3 linked regions of the Diceros bicornis minor genome follow. The protein of the gene in region 2 purifies or fractionates together with the protein of the main gene of each other region. This does not show direct contact. Links are inferred from orthologs where the notes say so. Each region holds a gene or a part of one and is shown on either strand. Other genes may lie near its edges.

What was found.
Region 1: the proteins of TRIM33 (region 2) and PNMA2 purify together in Homo sapiens (affinity purification with mass spectrometry; 3 studies listed by BioGRID and IntAct, with this or other methods). This does not show direct contact. The link is inferred for Diceros bicornis minor from reciprocal best matches to the Homo sapiens genes TRIM33 and PNMA2.
Region 3: the proteins of TRIM33 (region 2) and SKIL purify together in Homo sapiens (affinity purification with western blotting; 4 studies listed by BioGRID and IntAct, with this or other methods). This does not show direct contact. The link is inferred for Diceros bicornis minor from reciprocal best matches to the Homo sapiens genes TRIM33 and SKIL.

What each region holds. Positions count from the first base shown.
Region 1 is NC_080750.1:67,423,525-67,430,439, forward strand, and holds the start of PNMA2 (paraneoplastic antigen Ma2), read left to right. Parts: upstream 1-2,317; 5' UTR 2,318-2,399; intron 2,400-4,233; exon of another isoform or gene 4,234-4,289; intron 4,290-4,898; 5' UTR 4,899-5,024; intron 5,025-5,322; 5' UTR 5,323-5,782; coding exon 5,783-6,877; 3' UTR 6,878-6,915. Other genes in the region: DPYSL2 (dihydropyrimidinase-related protein 2), read right to left, coding at 1,553-1,906.
Region 2 is NC_080743.1:47,166,526-47,173,440, reverse strand, and holds the start of TRIM33 (E3 ubiquitin-protein ligase TRIM33), read left to right. Parts: upstream 1-2,824; 5' UTR 2,825-2,837; coding exon 2,838-3,363; intron 3,364-6,915. UniProt on the Homo sapiens protein: Acts as an E3 ubiquitin-protein ligase. Promotes SMAD4 ubiquitination, nuclear exclusion and degradation via the ubiquitin proteasome pathway. According to PubMed:16751102, does not promote a decrease in the level of endogenous SMAD4.
Region 3 is NC_080754.1:51,561,339-51,568,253, forward strand, and holds the start of SKIL (ski-like protein), read right to left. Parts: upstream 3,650-6,915; 5' UTR 3,450-3,649; intron 2,860-3,449; exon of another isoform or gene 2,569-2,859; intron 1,823-2,568; 5' UTR 1,143-1,822; coding exon 45-1,142; intron 1-44. UniProt on the Homo sapiens protein: May have regulatory role in cell division or differentiation in response to extracellular signals.

The sequences.
Region 1 (6,915 bases), on a different chromosome or scaffold from region 2:
CATAGTGACACATGCACATCAGATACCCTCCTATATGAATAAACCAGAGGACAGGGCTCGGGGAGGAGGAATCAATTAAGTGATGTGTTGTCCCACCTTTTGAAAATGACAGCAAATGTCTTATCTTTCCTAGCATTGGTCCTTTAAGAGTCAAAAGCTCCAAAACTCTATGCCATATCAGGAAACAGTAACATGCTCAGGCCATTATCAGCAACTCATAATTGTTCTCACTGTAAGCACACAACCTGAATGCCAAATAAATGCTGTGGAATCACTCGGTGAATATGTATAGACCACTCCCAACTAGTCTGGAAGCCTCTTAAGAAGAAAGCACCTTGAACTTTTAATAGCTAACCATCCCCCTGCCCCACAAGGGAAGGCACACAATAGGTCTCCAATAAATAATCAATCATTGACTGATTTCTCATCTTCTCCAATGGGCATGGGAGAGAAACAGCAAACAAGTGTTAAAACATTCCACACTGTAACTGATCAGTAGAGAAAATAAGGCTGTGAAAAAAATTGCACAAGTATGAAGGTCACCCTGATAAAAAAAAACGTGGTGCAAGAAGACTACTGCACTTAAAATGCACACTATACATATTTGCGAGAGATGACAACACTTTCTAAAATCAAGGTTTACCAAATCGGTCTTCTTTGTTCCCCCATTGACACAGTGTAGGGATCTAATCCATCTCTGACAATCTATTCAAAATGTGAGGGGTTTTCCCCTTTTCTTTTCTTTTTACCCTTTGAACATAATCCACTCAGTCCCCATCCCCAACGTGCTTCCCCAGCAGCGGCGGGGGGACCGCTCTGGGAAGCCCTTGCTAGGGTACTCAGCGAACTTTGTTCTCCACATGGCTATTGAGGAGCGTCTCGGTTTCCTCGCGTGACTCCACCGCCTCCCTCGTTCTTCTCACACTGCGAACAGGAGTCAAGGGTGGTGCGATTCTGCGAGGCGGTCCGGGGAGGCGCTGGCCATGGTGCTGGCCTCTGAGCTCGGGACGCGAGCGCGGAGGGCGCGGGAGGAGGTGCGGTGGGTGAACGCGCAGGGCGCGGTGGGGAGCGGCCATCGAAGCCCCCGCCCCTCCCGACCCCCGGGGAGCCCGCGGGCCTGCACGCGAACTCTCCGCCGCTCGCTCCGAGCTGCATCAAAAAAGGGTGGGGCATCCAGCCACAGCTGCAATCGGAAGCCGCCCGGCCGGATTTAAGAATGGACGGCGGCCCATCCCCCCCGACCATGCGACCCCCTAGCCGGGGATCGGCCCATCCTTTACCCCCACGCGCTACTGCCCAGGCCCGGGGAGGCGCCGGCAGCCTTTGTGGGCGCACAGCCGCCCACCGCCGAGCCCGAGCCTCTCCGCACCCTGCACGGAGAAGGGGCGGGTAGGGTGGGGTGCGTGTGCAGATGCGGGGAGGCAATGTTCGAGGAGGGGCAGGACGGTGGGCACGCTGAGATCCTCGTTCTTCACCGAGCTGGAAGGAGGCGAGGGAGGGGCGACCCCCGCGCCCGGTCCTCCGTTTCAAACACCCCTCCCCCCATACCAACCTGGTCGTTGATGTTCTGCAGGGCTTCCTTGCCCGAGGCCCGCCGGATCTCCACCTTCCGGCTCGATTCAACAGATGGCTCCCCGCCGGCGCGCCGGCCCTGCCGGGAGTACGGAGGCTGCGGGTCCGGGCCCAGGTGGGCGACGTCCCGCTGCTGAGCCACCACCTGCCCCGAGCCCCGGCCCACCGACAGCGAGTCGAAGTCGATGGTCTTGTTCTCCGAGGACCCTTCCACGGGGCAGAACATGCCACAGAATTTCTGCCGGGGCTTGGGGCTGCCTGAGCCCAGGTTTTTAAAAAAGGCAGGGACCTCTTCGTCCTCCGCCGCCTTCCCGGATTGCTTCCTCTCGGCCATGGCGCGGGGGCTCGAGGAGGGTCCTCTCTGTCGGTCCGTCCGTCTGCTGGTCCCTAAGTCTGCCTCTCCCTGTGCACAAACCCCCTGGCTGCTGCCGCGGCTACCGCTCTGCGCCTACCGCAAGGTGTACAGAAAGGAAGGAGGGCTGGCGAACGGGCGGCCCACCGCTCCCGGTCCCTCCCCCTGACCCCGCTTTCTCCCCTCCCTGCCCACGCCTCCCCCCGCCGCGCGAGCTCCGGCGAGCGGCAAAGTTGGGTCTGGGCGGGTGGCCGCTGCGGCAGCGGGAGCGGAGAGGCTGCCAGTTCCCGGCAGCGGCGGGAGGAGGGAGGCGCGGGCGGGGCGGGGGCGGGGCGCGGCGCCGGGAGAGGAGCCGAGCGCAGCGGAGGGAGGGAGCGCCGCGCCGCTGGGAGCCCCGCGCTCCGGAAGTGAAGTGGCCAGACCACCGGCTAATGGATGCGGAGCGGAGGGCCCGCCGACCGCTCCCGGCTCCACCGTAAGTATGGAGCAGGGCACGCGGCGGCGAAGACCTGAGGGCGCAGCCCCTGGCTCCCGCGCCCCTCTTCCCCGCCTGCCCGGCCCAGGCGTCTCTCCCCACCACATTGCGGAGATGGGCCAAGGGCTGTGGCCCACCGTGGGGAGGGTTTCATCACCCAGGATGTGAGCTGATGGATGGGGAAAGAGGGACAAACTGACAGGCGTCAGGATACCCGGGGGGAGGGGAAGGGGCGGCACTGAGGATGGGGAAGGGATGGCGCAGGCGGCGCAGAAAGGTAGGGGCCATACGAGGCGCTGGACACCAAAGCCTTAGTTTACACACGGCCCTTGGTGGGCTGCTGGGAGCAGAGATTGAAACGAGAAGGTTCTCACTTTGTGCATCCACGGTGGTGGGAGAGGCACAGCATGGCGGGGAGAAATGCAGAGGGGCGTAGCAAACGGTGGGGAGCGGATAGAGAGAGACATAGGTCTACGGTCCGTGAGAGTGTAGCAGAGTCCAGTCCAGCACGGCAACTTATGTATTGCCCCAGGCGCCATGCACCAGTAACTGCGCCACTGCGCCAAGTAGAGCACAGGAGAAGGTCTTCATTTGGTATCTCCCGCCCCCGCCCAAAGTGGGGGAAAGCCGCAGATTAAAGCCCACTCCCCAAATCTCCAGTCCTTCTCCGGCGCCCCGGGCGCCCCGCCTCGTCCCCACCCCGCCCTGCTGCGCACTGCGCCAGAGCCGCGGGGTTTCCCAGGTGGCCAGACGCCGCGTGCCTGAGGCGTAAGTGCGTGCGCGTCCAGTGGCGGGTAGGAGATGGGGTGCTGGCTGTGATTGAGTGTCTTGGATTGTGTGAGGCCAACCTGGGGAAAGGTGTGTGGGGACTTGGTGTGTATGTACGGATAGACTAGCCACAGCCACAGGGCATCCAGGGGGGTATTTTGATTTGTGCCAGTAACACGGTCTCTGAGGGTCCTTCACGGCTTACTCCCGTCCCCACGTCCTTTCCGTGTATCAGTCTCTACCTCTGGTCGATTACAGCCCCGCCCCTCTTTCCACAGTGTCAAAATCCTGCAAAAATGATGCCCATCCTTTGGCGGCTCGAGAGAGAGGTCTGGGCATGCTCAGTAACCAGGGTGGGTTTGGGCTAAGAGGCTGTTTACCGCAGGACCGTAGCGAGGGGCAGTGTGACCAAGTATTCGGTCCCGTTGTCAGCCCTTGCCCCTAGAAGCATTAAATGCGGATACCCACCCCCTAGTTGTGAGGGATAGTTTGGTGAATGGAGTTAAATTTAGAGGACCACCACTCACAGTTTGGTGAGGAGCCCACCATGCTAGGTGGGCAGGAGTCCCCGGATGAGAAGGGGAGAAGGGGGAAGGAGAGGAATGTGCGTGTGGAGGGGCTGAGAGAACCAGGGGCAGGCTTTCGGACTTAGCACCAGATGTGCTTAGCATTTGAATAAAGTGCTTCTACGTGAATTACATCATTTCCTCCTCAAAGCAGCCCAGGGAGAAGAGTGCTTTCCTTCCAGGGCAGGAAGCTGAGGTGTAGAGCTATTGAGGAGCTTTGCCCAAGGTCACTATCTAGTTAAATGGCGCAACAATTACAGTGAAGTCTTCCACCTGAAAGTCTGGTTTCTTTTCCAACTTATCCTGTCTTTATGTGAGAAAATACAAGATTTTCACATTTTTTCCATATCCAAATATTTCCATACGGGTCATCCCGTATCTAAGAAGAGGAAAGTGAGGTACGGAAGAGTCATCGAGCTCAGATCCCTGGGCCTGCTGGGGAGGGCGTGACCCACCATTTTGCCCTCTGGCCCTCTGGCATGCGCCGCCTTCAGCACCTTCCGGGAAGACTCGGGAAATGTGCCTGCAGCAGGAGCAGCTGCCGCCATAACTGCAGGTTGGCATCTGTGGCATATGGACCCCATTAGGACTGATGGAGATTTTCAGGCCTGGGGAAGAACGGTGGTGGTTCCTAACACACACTCCACACCAGTAACTGGGACACGTTAGGAGCTCTTCCCTTTTCACAATACCCAGTCTCCACCCCCTCGCCACAGATGTGCTTCCTCTCTTTTCCTTTTTCCTCAAATGACCCGTTCAAGTTCAAATGCTATGAAGAAAGTGTCGTGTTAATAACTTACCATTCATAGCAAAAGAAACATCTTAATTTTGCTTTTGCAAAGCCTGACCAGACATAGCAAAAGAGAATTAATTCATAATTCTGAGTTTATTTGGCCCTGAGGTTTTTTAAATTGTTATACTTCTATTAGGTTGTAATACCTATATTATTATGTCATATTAAAGTATATTTTATAAATTATATTATTATGCCTATATTAAATTGTTTTTAAATATTTGAATGATTTCTAAAAGAAATGAAGCAACTCAATTTAGTAGATTTAATTAAGTTTTGAAGGATTGCCATATTTTTGAATAAGTGCATTAACAGTCTTCATCACTGGATATTATCAAGCCATAAAAATACACTATTATTTATGTATAACAGGGCAACTTGGCTTGGCTGGAGCTAAGATCCAGACACGCTGTTGTGTGGACTTGGGTGACATCTTCCTGTGCTAGAAGCTGAATAAGCTCCTTGACTCTCATGGAACATTCTGGAACGCATAAACAGGTATCTCACCACATTTCCTGATTTCATTATTCATGTGGGAAAAATCTTGAGTCCTGTCCACAACTGGGGCTCAGATATTAATCAGCACTTCTGATGAGCGTGCGGTGGGGAAGCTAGGTTGCAGGAGGGTCCCCAAGAGAAAAAAAAAATGTCACTGTAGGCAAAGAAGAGATCTGACAGAGTGGGATAGACACAAGTACAATGTCTCCCCGGGTCTCCCTCCACCTCCATCCCTAACTGGAGTACAGATGCTCCCTGGGAAGGAGAGGGCTGGTAAAACTGACCGTTCTCTCATTAGGAGTCCAAGCCACTCTGCAGTGAGACGTCTCTCCAGGACTCCTCGGGGCCAGAGGAGGTATTTCCCTGTTGACTAGAGAGGTGAAGCAGCAGAGACGGGGAAAGTGGTGAAAACAGCTCTCGAAGGTGCAGCGGACCGTCAGCAGGGGGTCAGCACCACCACGTGGCTGCTAGCATTGGCGAGAGAAACAGCAGCCACCAGACTCCAGAGCCACTGAGACACTGCCACCCACCGCAGGTCTAGAGACAACGGGAGGTGCTGAGCTCTTGCCACTGGGCAGTGAAGGTTATTGGTCCAGAAGACTGAGGCTGCTCTTGGAGTGACCTGACCCAGGTTCCATTCCCTGGTGGGTTATAAGTTTGGAAGCTCCTCCAGGATAGTCTCAGTCCTGAGGCAGTGCCCATCTGCACCACAAACTAATTGGTACCCCTAGGGTCAGAGCGAGTAAATATTTGGGACGATGGCACTGGCACTGCTGGAGGACTGGTGCAGGATAATGAGTGTGGATGATCAGAAATCGCTGATGGTTATGGGGATACCAGTGGACTGTAATGAGGCTGAGATTCAGGAGGTTCTCCAGGAGACTTTGAAGTCTCTGGGCAGGTATAGACTGCTTGGCAAAATATTCAGGAAGCAGGAGAATGCCAATGCTGTGCTATTAGAGCTCATGGAGGATATTGATGTCTCAGTGGTCCCCAGCGAGGTTCAGGGAAGGGGGGGCATCTGGAAAGTGATCTTTAAGACCCCCAACCAGGACACTGAATTTCTTGAAAGACTGAACCTCTTTCTAGAAAAAGAGAGACAAACAGTCTCTGGTATGTTCCGGGCCCTTGGCCATGAGGGAGTGTCTCCAGCCACAGTTCCCTGCATATCACCGGAGTTATTGGCCCATTTGTTGGGACAGGCAATAGCACATGCCCCTCGGCATCTGCTCCCCATGAGATACCGGAAACTGAGGGTGTTCTCAGGGAGCGCTGTGCCCACCCCGGAGGAAGAGCCCTTTGAAATCTGGTTGGAACAGGCCACTGAGATAGTCAAAGAGTGGCCGGTAGCAGAGGCAGAAAAGAAAAGGTGGTTGATGGAAAGCCTGCGTGGCCCTGCCCTGGACCTCATGCATATAGTGCAGGCAGACAATCCGTCCATCAGTGTGGAGGAGTGTTTGGAGGCATTTAAGCAAGTGTTCGGAAGCCTAGAGAGCCGCAGGACCTCTCAGGTGAAATATCTGAAGACCTATCAGGAGGAAGGCGAGAAAGTCTCAGCCTATGTGTTACGGTTAGAAACCCTGCTCCGGAGAGCTGTGGAGAAGCGGGCCATCCCTAGGAATATCGCAGATCAGGTCCGCCTGGAGCAGGTCATGGCTGGGGCGAGCCTTAGTGAAATCCTTTGGTGCAGGCTCAGGGAGCGGAAAGACCAGAGGCAGCCTCCCAGCTTCCTTGAGTTAATGAAGGTAATCCGGGAAGAAGAGGAGGAAGAGGCCTCTTTTGAAAATGAGAATGTTGAAGAGCCAGATGAGGGGGACGGCTATGGCCACTGGGACAATGAGGCAGATGACTAAAAACCAACTCAGAGGGAGACCCACAGCCTGTGGGCCTG
Region 2 (6,915 bases):
GCTAGTAGGTGGTGGAACCAGGCTTGAAACAAGGCATTTTGGCACCAGAGCACAGATTCAATCTCCACGCTCTGCAGTTTCTCCATCAGACAGATTTGTTTATTATCATATCTCAGCCTCACTAATGATTTCAGTTTCTCCTGCAAGATTTCTGGGCTCCCATTGCAAATCAAGGATGTAGCTGGGTATCAGTTTCAACGTCCCCAAATATTCCATGCCAGTTTAATTCCAGGCACTGCCTTCTCACAGCACACAGTAAATTTAATGGGCTGGCAATTTCCTCTCTATAAAATTACAGTTTTCAAAAACAACACTTTTATACTAGATTTTAATAAAGGCAAGTGGTAGCAGGCATTAAAAGGTTAAGAAAAATTCAAGGAGGCTAAACTTTTGGTTGAGAAATTCAGCTCATTAACTTATTTTTTTCGAAGTGAATTTGGAGATGAATCTTTATTTGCTCTTTGTTATATATATACCATATTTTTCACCACCTGCACAGATACCATCTGGTCCAATCAACCATTATTCCTTGACTGAAATATTATTGTATTAGCAGGCTATCTGGTCTTCCTTCTTCCACTTGGACCTCCTACAAGTGATTTCTCCAGAAAGTGGCCGCAGTGACTCTTTTTATGACTTTGAGTCTTGGTTCAAACTCATCTAAGACTTCCCATCTCACTCAGCTCATGTTAAAACTGGGGTATGAGTACTCTTTGGGTACTCCCGTGGAAAAAATTTTTCCAAGGGTATAGAAGGATAGTTTTAAGGGAATTAATCACATATACATAAATTAATTATATATACACGTAATATATACATTTTAACTCAGTGCTTACATCTATAAAATGAAAATTGGAATTGATATAGGACCCTATCTGTTCCTAGTAATGTTATATACATCCATATCTACATGAACTAATTGAAAAAAAAATTACCAGCCATTTCACTAAGACGTTCCCAGTAACACTTTTTCATGTTTAATATTTAATAAAATACCTTTTTTTGATTATGTACTTTTACAATGGATGACAGTGTTTGTTAAACCACCTGTTTACTTTTCCATTGGATAGATTTAAAATAACGTAACAATTAAAAAATGTCAGTATTGCAAAATGTCAGAAATTGCACTTTTTGCAACTTCACTCATAATGAAAAATTTTAGAGTCAACTTACGTTTCAGGGTAGAAAATAGTTTTTCAAAGTTCTTTTCAAGGGCACAAAACTTAAAAAAATTGAAGACCATTTCTGTATATGATCTGGCCCCCTTAATACTCATCTCATGTTCTACTACTCTTTCCCTTGTTCCAGCCACTGCAGCCACATTGACTCTTTGCTGTTCCTCTAACAAACCAAGAATCCCTCTCTGCCTCCGACCCTTTATACTTACTGTTCCTTTCCTGAAACACTATTCTTTCTGCAGGAGAGCCACAAAGCTTGTTAACCTATCAACAGAGGCCTTCCTCAATCATCTCCAATCTCTTTTACTCTGCTTATTTTTTCTTCATAGCATTTATCACTCCCTGGCATATATTTATTTGTCAATCTTCCCCCATTAGATTGTAACCTCCTTGAAGGCAAGGATGTCCTTTGTTCTCTGCTGTAATCCTAGCGTCTCTAAAACGCTACCTGTTACATAGTAAGAGGTCAGTATTTTTGAACGAGTAAGTGACAAACGTTTCGAGGTGGCTTATTGTAAGGACTTATGCCAGCTCAAAGAATAACAGTCTCTTGGGAATACGGAAGAAGAAAGCACTTCATGATCCTAACACTAAAACAGCTGTGCACTACATAAAAATCCCCACAGGACTTGTTTTTCAAATAAAGACAATCCTTTCTGAAAGCTTCTATTACCCATATTGTTACGGCATTTATAACCCAACTCATGACAGGATACAAAGTGGCACTCTCAGGACACAATATTGGTTAGATCCGTGGCTCCCCAAACTGACGCACGTCAGAAACAGCTGAAGCGACTTTCAACACCCAGCAGCCTCTCCCTCACTTCCCGATACAGGTCTGAGGTGTGGCCCTGGCACCACTGCTTTGAAAGAGCTCCTCAGTTGAGTGGTTTTCTGATACGCAGCAACGTCCGAGAATCAATCACCTTAAGAAACTAAAAATGGCTGTTAAAAAGTTTCTTCCTCACCCAGCCTTCTCAGCCTATTTCTAGTACTCTCTCAGCTTAAGGAAAAAACCCGCTTTATTGCTCCCCTTTGGCACAATCGCCCAAAGGAACGCGGGTCCCAAAGACCCTCCTGGGAGGTCGGCACCTCGGAGCCAGGAGGCTCCGGCGTCCGACCGCGCGGCACGCGAGGTTTCTGCGGAGACGCGCCCGCCCCTGGGGACGGCGCCGCCCGGGAGACGCTCTCTCGGCAAGAAGCGCCCCGGCCTCCTAACCTTCCACCCTTTCCCGCTCTTCTCCCCGCACCACCGCTGCCTCCGAGCTCGTAACCACCACGGACCAAAGGCAGCTGAGCGTCAAAGGCCCCTGACTTGAACAGCTCACTGCGCGTAGAGACGCCGTGGCGCGGACGCAACGCGTCGGCCCCGGCAGTTGGGGGGGGCGGCGAGGACAGCTCCGCGCCCGCGCCCCGAGTTCCCGCCTCCCTCCAGAGGACGTCCGTGCGTGCGTGCGAGCGCCGCGCCCGCCCTCCTGCAACCGCGCGACGCGAGGGCGGGGGCGCCGCCTGCGCGCGCGCTCTCGTTCGTTTGCTTGCCTGCTCGCTCTCGGCAGCAGCTCTCGCTGCGGCTGCGGCTGGGGCTGGGGGCGGTGGCGGCGGCGCGGGCGGCGGGAGGCGGGCGGCGCGGGGCGGTCCGGCGGGTTCAAAGAGGAAAACATGGCGGAAAACAAAGGCGGCGGCGAGGCTGAGAGCGGCGGCGGGGGCAGCGGCAGCGCGCCGGTGACTGCCGGGGCAGCCGGGCCCGCGGCGCAGGAGGCGGAGCCGCCTCTCGCTGCGGTGCTGGTGGAGGAGGAGGAGGAGGAAGGCGGCAGGGCCGGCGCGGAGAGCGGCGCGGCCGGGCCTGACGACGGGGGGGTGGCCGCGGCCTCCTCGGGCTCGGCCCCGGCTGCCTCAGCCGCTGCGGCCTCAGTGGGCCCTGGAGTTGCCGGAGGGGCGGTATCGACGCCGGCCCCAGCTCCAGCCTCGGCTCCCGCCCCAGGTCCTTCGGCGGGGCCGCCTCCTGGACCGCCAGCCTCTCTCCTGGACACCTGCGCCGTGTGTCAGCAGAGCCTGCAGAGCCGGCGTGAGGCGGAGCCCAAGCTGCTGCCCTGTCTTCACTCTTTCTGCCTGCGCTGCTTGCCCGAGCCGGAGCGCCAGCTCAGCGTGCCCATCCCGGGGGGCAGCAACGGCGACATCCAGCAAGGTGAGCGGAAGGCCCTGCCCCAGGTCGGGGTCGAGGAGGATTTGGGGACGGAGGTGCTTGGGCCCGGGGCTGCTCGGACCAGCGCGATCCTCAGGGGTCTAAGAGGTGAAAGATACGGCTCCTGGGACAGTTTCCAGAGAAGCCGGCCCGCCGGAGATATGGGGAGGGTGAAAGGAGGGGTGCCTGCTGCGAGAGACTGGGGGAGGGGACACCGGCTGCAAGGACGGTTTGTGATGTGCGGATCCGGACCGGGAAGGCGTGGACTCCGGCCGAGCGCAGGTTCGGCAGCTGGTGGGCCCGGACTGTGAGAGAAGAGGGGGTCTGGGAAATCGCTTGTGACAAGCGTTTTGGGAGGGAAGGCCCGGAGCCAGGAGAGGTGTTGAGGAGGGAGTAGGTAACGGATGAGGGCTGTGAGATGAATTGTCCTAGAGGGAGAGGACTTGACCTGTTAAAGGCTAGGGGAAAGAAGGACTAGGAATTAAATAGAGGAGGATAAAGGGCACTGGAGAGTTTGGGGCTAAGAGAAGGCGTCTGGTAGAAAGTAGTTTTAAGATGACATTGGGAAGGAGGAACTCTGGAAACGAAAATAGCTATGAGGAGCTTGGATGGTTAGGAAAAAATCCTAAGGTTTAGGGGTGAAGGAGAAATGAACTTTGAAGGGAATTGGGAGTTAGGGAGACCTGGGCGTGAATTTCAGTTAATTGTACATTGACGAGCTCCTAATGTTCCTGACACTTTGCTATGATTCAATAAAATACTCAGTGAGGGGCTCATTCACAGTCTGATGTCGGGCAACAAATATATAATGTACAGCATTGGAGGTGGGTACTTGGTACAATGGTTGTGGCACAGTCACGAGGAGATCAGGGAAACTTCACTGAAGAGGAAACCCTTGGACAGGTTTCTTAAAGGATGAGTGGCTTACTGGGTTGGAGAGTATTCAGGGCACAGGACACCTTACACATCCCTGGAGCTGAGGGATGTGTAAGGTGATTGGTGGAAATTAGATTGGCTTGATGGGCTGAATAGGTAAGGGGTCTGCAGTCTTTTATCTGAAACCCTTGGGACCAGGTGTATTTTAGACTTCAGAATAGTTTGGAAAAGTTTCTTTTTCCTGGTAAGGTCTCTCTAATGCTCCAGCGGGATCTGGGTTGACAACTCATTATCAAACACATTAATATTTCTGCAGTGAAACGTACAAATGTCACACAAATGGAATGGACAATAAATAGCCTTCTTTCAGGGTGGGTTTTGTTGCAAACTTATGAAAAATCTTTAAAATTTCAAAACTTTTGAATTTTGGAACTGCAGGTAAGGGATTGTGGACCTGTACTAAAGAGTTTGGGATTCATCCTGTACAAGAGTGTACCTTGTACAGTGTAGACTAAAGGGAGTCCCTGAAGGACTTTTATATCAAGAAGGTAAAAGGATCACGTTTGTGAGCCAGAAAGATTACGTGGGGCACGTTGAAGGGCAAGGGAAGGCAAGGCTGGAGGCAGGACCAGTTAGGAGAATCTTGGCAGTAATTTAGGTGAGAAATGAGCCCATTTGGAATGAGTAGTAAAGGACTGATATCAGGTATTAAAGAAGGAAGCAGTTTGGTATGGGGGAAAGCTATGGACTTTGTGAGACATGTTTGAGTTTGGATGTCTACTTTGTCGCTTCCTACTTGTGACATAGATTAATTTTTCTTTTTTTTTAAGATTTTATTTATTTATTTATTTTCCCCCCAAAGCCCCAGTAGATAGTTGTATGTCATAGCTGCACATCCTTCTAGCTGCTGTATGTGGGACGCAGCCTCAGCATGGCCGGAGAAGCGGTGAGTGCCCGGGATCTGAACCCGGGCCGTCAGCAGTGGAGCACACGCGCTTAACTGCTAAGTCATGGGGCCGGCCCAGATTAATTTTTCTTAGCCTCAGTTTTCTCATTTGTGAAACAAGGACAAAATTCTCTACCTCACAGTGTTATTGATAGAATGAAGTGTGTAAAGTGACTAATACATGGTAGTTTTTAATGAAATGGAAGCTAGTTTATTATTAATAGTAACTAATTGTAAGTAGCCATGGGAATGGAGATGAGGAGTGATTTGAGATTGGTGTGAGGGAAACAAACATGTCTAGGCTGAGTTCCAGGTTTCTTGTTTGGTGGATGGCAGTGCTGTTAATGCAAATAAAAGAATTCAGGCACAGAAGCAGGTGTGTGTGGTGGAGGGAGGATAAAATGATTGCAGTTTTGGATGTTTTGGGTTTGAAGTATTATTGAGACACGCAGGTAAGAATGTTAAGAATAAGGGTTGATTGATGGAGAAGATACTAAATGATAATGGATGTATATAGAGGATGGATGATGGATGTGTAACTAACTACTCATGGCCTCATGAGTATAGTCAGACGTGGGATTCAGTGTTCTTTTGGGAACCTGGATTAGGTGAGATATTTAGAGGGAACACAAGATGAAAATTGTGTTTGATGTGGCTGAGAGACTTAGGTTATGAAATTGGCTCTCTGATATTTATGCAGGGGAGAGAATAATAGTCTGTAAATTCTTTTCATTTCTTCATCCTTTGTTTTTGAACTAGGAGAAATAAGTACGTGGGACTAAATAGTGTCAATCTTAAGATAATGTTGCTTTCTAACCAGTATCTGAAACAAATTAAGTCTGGAAGCCACCATGTTTTTAGGCAGGGAGTCTAGAAAATAATTTTTTTTTTTTTTTGTAAGGAAGATCGGCCCTGAGCTAACATCTGCCAATCCTCCTCTTTTTGCTGAGGAAGACTGCCCCTGGGCTAACATCCATGCCGATTTTCCTCCACTTTATATGGGACGCCGCCACAGCATGGCTTGACAAGCGGTGCGTTGGTGTGCACCGGGATCTGAACCAGCGAGCCCCTGGCCACTGCAGCGGAGCGCGTGCACTTAACCGCTTGCGCCACCGGGCCGGCCCCATAGAAAATAATTTGTTAGTATTAACAACTGTATGTATCCTTTACTTTGCTCTTTAAAAAAGCAAGCATGCTGTTCTGGAAGGAACACTGGATTTGGAGTCAGGGGACATAGTTCTGCCACTTAATTGTTTTCTGGTTCCTTCAGGTTCATAATGTTTCTGTCCTTCAGTTTCTTTATCTCTAAAATGTAGCTAATAGTCCTTCATTTTTATCTCATTAAGTCAAATTAAATAATGAATGTGAAAATGCTTTTATAAACTGTGAAATGCTTTGTAATTGCAAGGTATTATTGAACAAGCTGTGATTCCATATCTGGTCTGGGAGCCACAGCTGGTAATTTAATTCACCATCTTAAGTGGTTCTGAAACAATGACAGGGACATTACCCTCCCTTCTAACTGGCCTTTTTTCTTTTCCTTTAACACACCAAAGTTATTCACACCTTTTAGCTGTTCCCTCTAGATTGATGGCTCTCCAGGTGTGGTTTCTGGACCAGCAGCATCAGCATCATCTGTGATCTTGTGAGGAATGCAAATTTTTGGGCCCCACGCCACATCTTCTGACCAGCAAGCTATCTTAACAAGTCCTCCAGGTGATTTTGATGTACAC
Region 3 (6,915 bases), on a different chromosome or scaffold from region 2:
ACCGTTATTCAAAATTGCTATTTAAAAAAAAAAAAAAAACTTACCTTGGATTGCGTTCTCTTTCCATTTCTTATGCTAAATTTCTCCTTCATTTCTTCTAAAATTATCTTCAGTTTCTTTTCCTCAGGTGTCCCTAGGTATTTTTGGTTCACATGAAGATAGCAATGCCACTTGGCTGATTCAAAGCCCCAGTGGCAAGTCCTTTTGTCAGGTGATCTGTGAGAATGCATCACAAATGTCTGGGGCGCAAACATTCCACAGCACTCCAGACACTGAATACACGGAGCATCAGGCTGAACATAAAACTGGGGTGCAAACAGACCCTGACATTTGCCCAAGCATTCATGTTCCACTTCAAAGGCACTGCCAGTTTCCTTTAACTGGGCCAATGAGTTTTTAGCAGGCAATATGCTGCCATTTTGAGGAAAAGTACGTGGCCGCAATAAAGCATTACATAGTCTTTGTGCATCAGTTAATGTGATCAGCCCACAGGATGGGGCATTGAATGGGAGTATTCCTAGGACCTTTAAGATATGAAGCTGGTCTGAAGTACACCTTGAACAATAGATGTACAACTCGTCACACACTGTATTTATTTGCTGGAGTGAAAATTCACGGAGAACAGAATTTAAGACTTGGGGCAAACAGAGTCTCTTTTCTCCTCCAACCTGAAAACACGAAATAGACTCCCCTTCCAATACAGTCTGGGTGAGTTCTGTGGAGCTATCAGAAGGGATGAGTAGTGGACCAGGAAGAACCTGAGGAGATGGAAGAGGCAGAAATACAGTAGGTGACATGCTTTCTTGGGAATACCGAGCGGAGAATGCTGCTGGTCCACCCAGAGAGCTCTGACTACTTAAGTGGAATTGTGCCAAAGTGTGTTTCAAACTGGGATTTAAATGCAAAGGTTCAGGCACGGAGGCACAGGTTCGCTTGACATGCTCTCCATTAGTTTCCATGGGCGCTTCATAGTCATCCAAGTGTTCCTTCTTTACTGTTGGCATCTTGTTGATCATCATTCTTCCATTTGCATGAATGTCTGTCATCATTTTTTTCACTGGAGGGCTGCCATCATCTCCCATCCCATTCAGTTTTTTATTGGAACCCTGAACCAAGGGGAAATTTGTCTGTAGGTTTTCCATTGCTAAAAACTACGGTTAAATAAGTAAGTCTGAGATTTGCATTGTTATTTAGTTGCTTATTTGAAGAGAGAAAAGCGATATACACCAATACTTATGGTAATTTACTCTCATAGAAAATTTAAATTTCCAAAGAGAGATCTCCCTAATGAATAGATTTTGCAACTTTGTTTTGGTTCTGCTTATACTCTAGTATAATTTCACTACAAATGCTAAAAATTCCTTGTTTTGTCTTTAATAATAAAGAATATGATTTGAAGAGGCACACCTCTGAGGAAGTTTTTTTTTTTCTTTTTTAATTCTTCGGATATACGTATTAAAATAAAGTTACCAATCCTCTCAATTCAAGATGTCCAGGTTCAATGCAATGGTTTGGTTTGGTTTTAAGCAAAACACATGAAAAGTTTATGTGATTACTGTATCATAAAACCTAGACACAAACACAAGTCAAAATGATGCACCCAAATTTAATTTTTGGCACCAAGGACACCAAAAAAAGAAAAAAAATTCTTCTCTAAAAACAATGATCTGTTGGTCTGTGTCGACAACCTGAAGACTTGAATAAATCCTCACACCAGCAAGAGCCTCTCACTCCACTTGAACTTCTACAGTTAAAAATGATACCTAAAGAAAAACTGGCCAGTTATCTTCAAGGATTACTGTTCATTCTTCTTTTAATGAATCTGGAAGAGAATGGGGATGGGGGAAGAGTTACATTTGAATTTGCTCCAGAGGCCAAAGGCTCAGTTTGAAACTAGTTTCTTAATCTTAAACTAAGTTCACTTTACCAAAGGTGACACTTCATTTTTTTTTAAATCTAACACCAGTTAACTAGAAGAACCTTCATTCAAATAGGAAAGCAATTTGGAGAATGGGTAAAGAGAGCAGTAATATCCCTTAAGAGGGTGAGGGCTACCCCAACTCAGAATTGGAAGAACCTTAAACAGATCATCTCACCCAAAACTCAGTACTAGAGGCTTTCTCAGTTATGCCATTTTAACTAAAATAATCCATTACTTCATCTCCTAATTTAAAAAAAAAAAAAACACCAGTTTGATCCAAAAAAATCAGACACGAGTTAACATATCTACCATATGTAACTAAGTTACAATCTTAAGTGCATCAATTCATCTGGTCAGTTTATGCTATTTTTCTGGAATGACTGCAGGCAAAAATTAACATTCCCTTTAAAAGATTAGCGAATTTGCTTAATGGAAGCCAAAAGCTAGAGACTCCACTCCTGGGAATCTCCATCCTTGAACAAGACTAATCCGGGACAAAAAGCACAAGGCAGACAGACCTCACAAAGAATGCAAATGGAGGAAGAGGGAAAAAGAAAAGATTCTTCTTCCACTTCCTTCTTGACAGAAAAATCCAAAAGAAATCCAATAAATAGAAATTTTTGCCTCCCAAACTCCCAGCAATTTACCTTAAAACAGACCCAAAGGGTTAAGGACCAAGGCCAGTAGCCAATGTACTGACTTTCGCCCACCACAGGAACACCTCAGCCAACGCAGGCCAAGGAAGAGGGCAGCAGGCATGACCTAGAACCGGGGAGCCCCCCAAACCCTGAAATCCTCGGCCCACGCAAAGCCGCCCACCCATCTCAAACCCGAGGGGGAGGGGAAGAGTCGAAGACAAGGCACCCGGGACGCCTTGGGGTGTGCAAGGGGGGAGTGGGAAGTGCAGGAAGAGGAATCCCCCAACCCCCACCCGCAGTCTCACGACAACCCCAAGTGCCCTCGCAACACGGCCCCACTGCGGGGGCCGCGGGGAGGACGGTGGAAATCCCCCGCGCACCCTCTCCCCGGGAAGTTTTCGGGTGTTACCCCAGCACCCCTAAGACGGCACCTCCCCCCGCCCGCCCGGAGCCAGAAGGGAGAGGGGTCAGCGGGCGGGTGGGGCGCCCGAGCCGGGATCCCCGCGCCGCCGGGCGCCGGTCGACCAGGTCGAGCTCGGGGCATCCCCACCGAGCGCAGACCGGCGCCGGAGGTGGGGGAGGCGGCGACGGGCGTGCTGGTCTCCGGGGTCCCGACGGCTCCGGTCAAGTGCAGCGCCCTTCCCCTGCCCGCGCCCACCGCCCGGGGTCAGCGAGGCACGATCCGCCGTGGGACCCCCGCCCCGCGCCGCCCGTGGCCCCGACCCCACCCGGGACCCGCGCATCCGGACCCCCGACTCCGGCCTCCGCTCCCGGCGAAGCTCGACGAGCTTTGTTAACTCCTCACCCGCCCCTAGCGCCGCCGTCGGGCTCCCGGGGGGCCCCGCGCCCCTCTCCTCCCGCCGCGTCCCCCTCGCGAGCCCGGGCCGCACCTGTGCCCGCCGCCGCCGCCGCTCGCCCGCTCCCTTCGGCTGTGCCGGCGCCGCTCCGAACCCCACACACATCGCTACACACAGCCCTCTGACGTCACCGAGCCCTCGGCCCGCCCACGTCACTGCGGAGACACACGGCTTCCCGCAGACGCCGCCGCCGTCTCCGGCCGCCCGGGGGAGAGCGAGGGCGGCGGGAGGGGGAGGGGAGGGGAGGGAACGGAGCCAGCGGCGGCACCGCGCGCGCGGGCCCGCCGGCGTCGCCGTCTCCGCCCTGGCCTCGAAGCTCCCAGTCCCTCAGGGACGCGCGCGCCGTCTGGCCTATTGTGGCTCCCCCGGGCTCCCCCCGCCCCGTCGTCTCGCGCGCGCGCCCCACCCCCCAGGCGCGCGCCCGGCGCTCCCGGCCCCGCGCGCCGTCTGGGCGGCTGGCGCGCGGTGCTGTCTGCGGTGCACCCGGCGCAGACAGGATGTTCCCTCCCCGCCCCACCCCCACCGCCGTCCGCCCGCCCTCCTTCCTTCCTCGAGTCGCTCAGCCGGCTGTCTGGGGCCGCCACCGCCCCGCCCCCCGCCCCACCCGCTGCTCTGTGGTGACGGGCCAGACCCGGGGGCGCCCGGGCCGCTCGGCCGCCGCGCGCCAGGGGGACGGGGGGCAGGGCGGCCGCGCGGTGCACTGTGCGCGACCCCAGCAGCCGGCGGAGCGGAGGCGGGGCCCGCCCGGCAGAGCGCCGCCGCCCGAGGTCAGGCACGGCCGCCCCTCCCCCCGCGGGGCCGCAGCTGGGCCGCCCCGCCCCGGAGGCAGCCGGGTGGCGGCCGCCCCGCAGCGCCCCCAGCGTGGGCCCTGCTCGCCGGGGCTGCCCCCCACCCCCGCGGGGCCTCCCGCCCGAGGGCCGCCCCGCCAGCTGCCTGCGCCCCGCCCCACCCCCGCGGCCCCGCCTGGCCCGGGCCGCCTCCGCCCAGACGCCTTCCCCGGGCTGACCTCCATCCGCCATCGGGCCAGGCCCGAGGGCTGGCCAAAGTTCCGGCAAAACCGAGAGAAACATTTTTGTCCCTACTTCTCAGCCTCCCTTTCCCCTCTTCCCACCAGACTGCTCTCTCGGTTCCGAAAGGGTGCTAGAAATTACATGTTTCTGCAGTGTTTACTGAGGGGTTTGGGGGTTTGTTTTCTAAGGGAAGACGAGATGAGACGAGGAAAGGTACAGCCCAAGAGCTTTCGGCTGTGGCCCTCAGGGGCGAGTAGAGCAGAGCGGTCTTCCTGGCCAGTGTTCCCAGGATAGCCAATTAACATACTGAACTCGGCCGAGCTGCTCTGTCATATTTCGAAATATCGAGAAATCCCCTGTTCTCCACCCCACCACAAGATCAGGAACTGAAATAGTCCACTGAGTCGCAGTGCATAGAATTCAGAAGACTGGAGCTTTGTCCCCCCCTTTTTTTTTTCCTTTTTGCCCATTATCGTCCATTTTATCCTGGTTTTACTACTTCGGGGTCGCTCATATGGGGTCCACATTTGGAGCTGGCCGACTGGCAATATTCCTATGCTCATAGATTTTTTTTTTCCTCTTTTCCACCCAACTGGCCTACCAAAGGCTCACAAGCCTCTCATTCCCTCCCACTTCCAAGTTCCCTTCCTTACGCCCCCATCGCTGTGCTCCTGGGTCGTGCCCCCTCTCCCACTCCCCACCTTTCCCTCCTTCTTGACTGCCTCCTTTCCTGAACATGAATAATTCCGCAGCACTTCCCATCTGTTATTGCCATAGAGACAGAAGCTCGACAAAGATAATGATGTTCTGTGCAGAGCCAGTGGGGGGAGAACAGCATCTGCGAGTCTGGGGGATAGATTTTTCTAATCGCGAGAATATTCAGAAGGCCCTGCTGAAGATCTGATGTGGAAGACTGGACAGTCCTGAGACTTGGCATCCGGTCAACTCTGGACACCTGGCTCGTGTCTAGCGAGAAGAAACAAGTTTTAGAAACCAAAATGACAGATTAAAAAAAAAGTGATTTCAAATTGCAATTAATGACAAATGTTTAGTACTCATTTTATCAGCCATAAAAATAATTACTTGCTAGCATGTCCAAAGGCCTAAGGACCAAAATAAATTGGACAGTAAATAGACTTTTGAGAAATCAAACACATTATCCCCTCCCCTGTTCTTTTGATTTGCTTTCCCCAGGAATCTGTTTTTTGAGGGAAGGATCTTTTGTGCCTGTGATTTTGTGTACAGTGGTTTGAGATATAGTGACAGGCAAATGTGGCTAGAACTAATCAAGCTTTGAAGGCCTTTTTTTTATTATTCATCAAAGTAGCAAATGTACCAATTTAAAATTCACTTTGTCCTTGAACTTCCAAGGTCTTGGCCTCAAAGATACAGGTTTGAACGCAAGTGAAACTAAGCAGGGTAGATCTGATGCAGATAGGAAGGCTCACACTCAGCCACATTTTTGCAGGTCTACTTAAGGATTGTCAGAAATTATTAGTAAAATTAATTGTATAATATGAAATAAAAAACACTGAAATAAATGATAGTTTCTTTATCTCAGAATTGAACAGAGAATACCTTAGAAAAAAAGAAGCACTGCAAGGTAATGAATATTGTAATTCTTACATACTGATGGTCTTCATCAGTGTTGAAAAGTCAGCTCAAGTATTGGTTGGTAAAGAGCTATTAGATGGGTTTCTCATGGCCTCCTGCCTCACCCCCTTGGCTGCCAGCAGGAGCTGAGCAAGGCCACTGTGCAAGTGTGTGCCTGTGTGTGCCTGTAAGAATTCCAGATGATTGGGGGTGGTGACCCTACTCATTGTTTCATCTTCCAATAAGCAGTCAGGTAGAAGGTCCAAAGTGACTGGTACTAGGTGGTCTAGAATTTCTTCTTCAGTAGTTATGGCCGTCTGGTAATAATAGAAACCAAGAATTTAAAGGTTATAAATTCCAAGACCAGTTCTGCCCTATGACCCGATAAATGGTTTGGGGCAAATGCTTTCCTCTTGTCTCCATTTACTGATCTATTGATAATGACCTACTAATATTAATTATGAAGACTGTGAAAAGGAAAGGGTAAAGTGCAAGCAGTCAATGTAAATTAATTTTATTTTTATGAAGGAGGGGGAAGAAAAGTCAAATGAATGTTAATTGGATATACAAACACTGGCTTGTGTTTTCGATTACACCTGCTCTTTTCCAAGGAAAAGAAAGCAGTTGTAGCTTGATAATTCTAGTGCCTCCTCTCCCCGCTTCCTTGATCCTCAACAAAAAAACATTTTTTTGAAATATTTTTTTAGCAGCAATTCAGATGCTACAAGGTCCTTCAATTTTACAAAAGAATCTCAGCTATTTCCCTTTCCATCTCACTTTTTTCTGTTGCTTTTAATTTATTTCTACTTATCAGAATTATGACTACGATGATGATGATGATGATGCTCTTCGACTTCCTCATAGCACTTTAATCTTTTTCCTACCTAACCTCTTCC